2 linked regions of the Zea mays genome follow. The main gene of each other region encodes a partner of the protein of the gene in region 2 in a complex. Links are inferred from orthologs where the notes say so. Each region holds a gene or a part of one and is shown on either strand. Other genes may lie near its edges.

Region 1 (2,225 bases), on a different chromosome or scaffold from region 2:
GTTAGTACCTAGTTATCCCTTAAGGGCTTGTTCGGTTACACGAATCCAGAAGGGGATTGGAGGGGTTTAAATCCCCTCTTAGGGCTGATTTGGTGACCCGGGATCCCGGGAGGATTGAAGGGGATTGAGGGGAAAATTAGTTTATTTCCCCCTCAATCCCCTCCAATCCTCCCGTGATCACCTTGTCACCAAATCAACTCGGTTGATTTGGTGACAAGGTGATCACGGGAGGATTGGAGGGGATTGAAGGGGAAATGAACTAATTTCCCCCTCAATTCTCTCAAATCCCGCCGTAATCTCTGGTCACCAAATCAGCCCTTATTGGCTAGTTTGGAAACTCACATCCTCTTCGGGATTGAAGGGGATTGGAGAGGAAATTAGTTCATTTCCACCCCAATCCCCTCCAACCCTGAAGGGGATTTGAGGTTCCCAAAGTAGCACTAAGGGTTAGTTTGGAAACTCAAATCCCTTCAAGATTGAAGGGGATTGAAGAGAAAATTAGTTTATTTCTACCTCAATCCCCTCCAATCCCAATGGGGATTTGAGGTTCCCATTGACTAGGAGGGGATTTAATACCCTCCAATCGCCTTCTGGATTGGTGTGCCTGAACATGCGTTAATTGGAGATGGGGACCCATTGGGGACCCAAAACCCGAATGAGGATGAGTATGAGATGAATTTTGCACCCATAATGGGTATGAGGATGGACTAAATATGATAGGAATGAGTTTGGGATGCTATAACCCGATGGAGAATTCTCCATTAACATCTCTAGATGAGTTAGAGATAGCTTTAGAAGTACAAGCTAGTTGTGCCGAAACATTTTTCAACAAAATTCGGGAGACAACTGATCGTTGTACCAAAAGAAATATATTATGTACCCGTGAGCCTCATTTTGTTTTGTTGAAGCTTCATCAACGGCACATCTTAGACCACGGAATTTTATAATATAAAAAGGTGACATGGCATTTTATGATAAGAAGAGGGCAGGGGACTAAACAATTACAAGTTTTTTTTAAAAGAAGTGGAGATATAAAAAAGGAAAAACACTCGATGAGTGAGCGGTCAGATGATCGCACATAGTGTGGGCCAGATTTCGCTCAGCGTAGCAAATCCCGCAATCACAAAACCCAATCCGAAACAGTCCTCCTCCCATCTTATCCCAAACACAACCCACACTACTACCCTACCCGTCCGCCTCTCTCGAAAGCGCAGCACCAGCGAGCATGTCGCCTGTCACCGCACTCCTGGCGGGCACGGTGGTGCCGCCGGCCTCGGCCCCGTCGCCAGCGAGGCACGCCCGCCATTACTCCGTCGGCTTCTCCCCGCTCCACGGCGGCGGGCGCGCGGCGCTGGCGGTGGAGTGCTCGTCGCGGCCGCAGAAGAAGGGGACCAAGCACCACATGAAGACGCGGCCCAAGAAGACGCAGCCGTGGGACATCAAGCGCCGCCCCACGCAGTACCCGCCGCTGCCGCCGCTCCCGCCGGACTGGACGCTCGTCGCCTCCGGCGCCACGGTGGACGTGGAGGAGGCGGAGGCCCCGGCACCCGCCGCGACTCTCGTCCTCGACGTGGCCGCGGCCACCGACTGAGGCCGCCGCGGCGTGTCGCCAAAGTTGTTCCCTTGAACCTCCGCATAAGCTGTTTTTCTTTGAGATTTATTATATAATAACAATGGCTGCCCAGATTTTGTGATTATAAATTAAGAATCTTTCATTGCTGTCCAGATTGTGGCTGTCACCGCGTCCAATTTAGTGCGTTGCTAGATGATTTCTTGGTTGCATGCTGTGTGCAACGCTTATTCCATGCCGTCAGTGGCAGTGCAGACTGCAGAGTGATTAGCTACTCCATCTCCATAGTTTGCCAGTTAAGTTATGATGGGATATGGATTACGCAAATATAGTCTTCAAAAGGGGGGGAAAACAAGCAGCCCAACGAAGACATCTGCCTCTTGTTTGACTTTAGGAGCTGGCTCTGTTTGATTTGGACAATTGCCTGATATTGGGGAAGGTTCGGTAAACAGTAAACTCAGCTTAGATGGCAGGAACAGCCATTGAACACTGCAAATGATAGGAAATTTTAGAAGTAACCTAGTTGTTTGTAATGTTGCTTTTGTTGGAGCATGATTGTGCGAATTCCATATGCTACCTGCCTACCTAGGGATGGCAATGGATACGGGTATGGGTAAATAACCGCGGATAATTATCCATTGGATATGAGTATGGT
Region 2 (4,655 bases):
TAGATAGGATCATATGACATATATATAAACCTTGTTCAGTTGGTGAAGCGTGGGAAGCAACTGAACGCTGAGCTAGTGAGCTTCACTTGTCTTGGAAGCCCTTCCAACGTGCGTCTCTACTAAGTAACTCTTGTGGAGGCCACAAGGTGCAAAATCTCTATCACAGTGGGCAAATTAATCAACAACCGAAGGAAACTACTTGACATGTCTAGCTCCGAAACCTGTGAAAAAAAATGGTCCACATCTGGAGTGTCGCAAGCAAGTAGAGCTTTGCCCAGACAGATTGAGTTTTGCCCAGCACTCCAGCATCCATGCCTTAAAAGGTTATAGTTAGAAAGGGGGAGGATTGCTAAGCCCTTGCCAGTTAGCCACATAGAGAGAAGGCCTTATTATTAGATCATGCCATTTCTTTTCTTACAAAATTAACAAAGTGCAAAGCATTACTATGGCCACGAGGAACAGATAGCTACGAAATGAAACTGTCGCAATTATCATGGAAAAAAGCCACACATTTCCTTATCCATTTTGTTTGGTAGCGCCACATAGAAACAAAACTTCATGTCACGATTTGCATAGTTATCTCAACACATGTGGCGAATAGAAAAGGAGAAAGAGAAAAATAAACACAAGATTCTTAACCATAATAAGATATAATTTGTGTCGGGCATTTGCATAGTCACATGCTTATCCCATGGGGAACGTTAAAGGTTTGCTTGCACGGCAGGACCATTCCTGATTCCCTAGATGGTAGTTAGATGACGGCGATAGGAGCCGAGGCCCAACTGCCCAGTGATGTATTGGCCGTGTTGTTTATGTGATCTGTCATGGATGTCCTACTATGATTCAAGGATTTAGGACATGCGCAGAACTGCCAGCAATGAAAAGTCGAAGAAAGAGATATTGACTTCGAGGGGGAGAAATGTAGTCCACTATGAGAAAAGAGATACCCAATGTCTCTGGAGAAAAAGATCTGAGGTAAACACGTCTAACTTGCAACCATGATTTGCAATAGAGAAATCCGATTGACATCCCACCCTTTCTCGGTGCAGGATGGGACCTGCAGCAGCAAAAGCGCAAAGCTTCGATGTCACCGCCATCCACCTACCCTCCATCGCCCAAACTGTCTCTGTCTCTGTAACGCGAATTTTATTTTACACAACAGCAAAGTGAAAAACTGGAGTAGGGGGTTCGCTTGCCTCAGCAACCGTCGCGTAGCTTGCGCGCCTCGGCGCTGGAACGGGGAATCTGGAGGCGGGCACGCATCTCCCAAGCAATCTCGCGTGGCCTCGCGTAGCGTGCGAGGAGACACGCAGAGAGGGAGGGAGAGAGAAAGAGAGCCTTGACCCCGCCGTCCTCGTCCTGTCGTCCTGATAGCTGATGCAGTGATGCTGATCAGCTGATGCGTGCGGAGCTCGCTCGTGGAGCCGAGGCCCTAGCCTGTAGCCTCTCACGGCGGTAGAACGAGCACCCATGGGCCTCACTGGATCACCTAAGCGTCTTCCAGGCCCATCTGTGCCTCACCTGAGGCCTGTCTCATTTAGTGACGAGGCCCAACCCACCAGCGTCAGAATACAAGAGCGCGTTATCCTCTCTCTTCCGGTTCCGGGCAACTCGAAGAAGCCGCGTGCGTTATCCTTTGAGCAGTTTGGGCGCTGAGCAAGTCCAGTGAGAGAGGGAGAGCGGCGAGAGGATGGCTGGGATGGCATCGCTGCAGGGCGCCATGGCGTCGCTCTCCATCTCCGCGCTAGGCGCGGCGACGGCGAGCAGCAGCAGCTTCTGGGGCAACCGGCTCGCCACCTACTCCGCGCCGCAGCCTGGGGTCTGTTCCTGCTTCCCAATTCCGTTCCGTTCTGCTGATGGTTTGGTAGATAATAAGTAGCTGTTCTGGTGAAAGATTTTACTCTGGAGTTTCTGGATAGCGTTGCAAAGCGCGGTCGGATGGAATTGTTCTAGGGACATTCGAGCTTGCATTACGGTTTTGGAGCTAGTCTGTATGGATTGGATGCAATGAAATGGAAAATTACCTTTGCATTGTTATTAATTGTGCATTTTCAAGGATGACAAACCAGGCTTCTAATATGACTATGTTTAGGGGTGTTTGACATCACTCTAGAGCAAAACTTTAAGGAAGACCTGGACAAAGTCAACTAAACACCCTAATTCTAGAGTTGCAAACTCTATAGAGTTTTGAGAGTTGTAGTATAATTTTTTGGAGTACATTTTTTGCTACTTTGAAAAATCCTTCAAAAACAATCAAGACACATCCAATGCACTGGTTATGAGAAAGCAATCTACACTTCGGAGCAGATATACTTCACCCAAAGTTTTGGAGTAGAACTATGCCAAACTCGCCCTTATTAGATTTCATATTACATTAAGTTTCTATTTGCTCCACGACACACACTAAATTTAGACCGTGTCCATATTGAATTTCGTCTACCTTCTTTTTTTATTTTTATCTTGCATGGAAGCTTAAATGGTAAGATTTGAGTGCGCCAAATAGATTAACTGATTGGGATTAATTTAAGTAAGAGAATTTCCTTTGTCATTGGTAATCCGGTATTGTCCTTTTTGCATATACAACTATGCACATGTTTGCCTTTTAGTGCTAATAGAGAGTATGCTGTGTTTCATGTGGTAAAATTTGTTCGAGTACTCTTTATTTAGTTTGTTAACTGAGGAAATTATGTTGCTTTTGAAGCGGTCAAAATGTCAACTGAAGAAATTATGTTGCCCTCAATGTGCCACTGATTTTGTTTATATATATTTATGCCTGAATTACCCCACATCACACAATACATATGACTAACTGGAAACAAAATTTGGCGCCAAATAGTGTATTATGAGCATAATGATGTTTGTATTTGAACCCTGCTTTCTTTTCTGTGTCATCTTTATTATGCCTTACCTGTATGTACTTGTGCCTGGAAAATTCCCAACTGATAAGAATCGGATGAGGATAAACCTTTCTGTTAAGAAGCAAAAGCAAGTAAAGAATAGATAGTGAGGTCAAGTAATCACTGTTGAAGGAAGTGATAGAACCACTGTATTTTAAGGGATATCGTATTACTCAAACATAAAGAGGAGCCCTGGATCCTGTAGTGTCTTGATCAGATCAACATGAATCGTAACCACTGTGTTTGAGTCATGCCATATCTCAGAAGCATCTGATTAGTGTCTCTTTGATTTGAAATGGAATCTTATGTCTTTAGGATGTGAAGTTCTGACAAGCTGTTTAATATGTTCAATATGCAGGTAAGGTTTATGGTCAAGATATGCCCAATTGAAATGAGAGTGAGTAAAAAAAATCTTTAGTCCAAATATTTGATACCTTTTTTATCCAATAATGTGAAATGTCCTAAAACTTCACTTTCCACTGCAGCTTAAGAGATGGGAGCGAAAGAAGTGTAAACCAAACAGTCTTCCTGTGCTGCACAAGATGCATGTTAGGATCGGGGACACGGTACAGGTTATTGCAGGCCGTGAGAAAGGAAAGGTTGGAGAAGTCACACGCCTTTTCAAGCACAACAGCACGGTGATCGTGAAGGACCTGAACTTGAAGTCGAAGCACAAGAAAGGCACAGACGATGAACCCGGTGAAATCGTCATGGTCAGCAAAATTTCTATTGAACTTGTTTTTTGGGCCTCTCATGATGCTTTGCACATATTGGTTTCAAGAGCATATCTGTAGTTTTAGTAGGTGCCTAATCGTTCTCTTGATCAGACTTAAATTTTCTTTGATCAGATTGAAGGCCCCATTCATAGCTCAAATGTGATGCTCTACTCTAAGGAGAAGAGTGTGGTAAGCAGGGTTGGCCACAAATTCCTGGAGGACGGGACCAAGGTCCGATACCTGGTCAAGACCGGTGAAGTAATCGACAGTGTTGAGAAGTGGGTAAAGGTTTTTAAGGAAGGAAATTCGGAGTAACAGTTTTAGCATGAAAACCTGCAAAATGCTCTGAACGCTGACTGCGTCTTGCATGTTGAATTGAGCCTGTTTATCCCTCTATGTTGTTATTTACGCCAGTTTTTCCCCCTGTAAATTATACAGTTGTCACCAAATCTTGCAACGCAAGTCAATGCGCATCAGCATATGCTGATCTTGTTCCGCTTCACCAGTCAGAGTTTTGGATGAAAAACTATGAGGGCATGTTCGGTTACAGTAATCCAGAGGGGGATTGGAGGGGATTAAATCCCCTCCTAGTCATTTTTGACTAGGAGAGGATTTAATCCCCTCCAATCCCCCTCTGGATTGGTGTAACCGAACAAGCCCTGAACGGGCTTGTATGTGCGGGCAGCCCGTGTTCGTTTGCAGCTCTGGACCCACTACTCTCGGTCTCGTCCTCACTTCCTCAGAAATATCCACATATATCATTTCCTATATTACAAAGGCATATTACAAAGGCGAAGTAACCTGTGCACATGAAGCAATAGTGCACATATAACATCTCAGTCTCTAATCTTCGATCAAACGGTTGCATCTCCCAACTCCGCATTTTATTAGAAAACACCCTCCACCTCTCCTGAATCCCTCTGAATCTTTGATGAACCCCCCAAGCTCCCTGTGCGCCAGAAACAACTATGATCCTTATTTCTGGCCGCCGCCCCATGTATTCTGGTCGCCGCTTCCACTTCGTTCCCTGGCCACCGCTTCC

What was found.
Region 1: 50S ribosomal protein L24, chloroplastic-like (region 2) and 50S ribosomal protein 6, chloroplastic-like share a complex: the UniProt entries of both Arabidopsis thaliana proteins name them as parts of the 50S ribosomal subunit. The link is inferred for Zea mays from reciprocal best matches to the Arabidopsis thaliana genes RPL24 and PSRP6.

The regions. Positions count from the first base shown.
Region 1 is NC_050099.1:216,898,364-216,900,588, reverse strand, and holds 50S ribosomal protein 6, chloroplastic-like, read left to right. Parts: upstream 1-1,153; 5' UTR 1,154-1,225; coding exon 1,226-1,591; 3' UTR 1,592-1,725; downstream 1,726-2,225.
Region 2 is NC_050100.1:50,135,427-50,140,081, reverse strand, and holds 50S ribosomal protein L24, chloroplastic-like, read left to right. Parts: upstream 1-1,633; 5' UTR 1,634-1,690; coding exon 1,691-1,819; intron 1,820-3,255; coding exon 3,256-3,294; intron 3,295-3,382; coding exon 3,383-3,610; intron 3,611-3,745; coding exon 3,746-3,928; 3' UTR 3,929-4,114; downstream 4,115-4,655. UniProt on the Arabidopsis thaliana protein: One of two assembly initiator proteins, it binds directly to the 5'-end of the 23S rRNA, where it nucleates assembly of the 50S subunit. Required for optimal plastid performance in terms of photosynthesis and growth.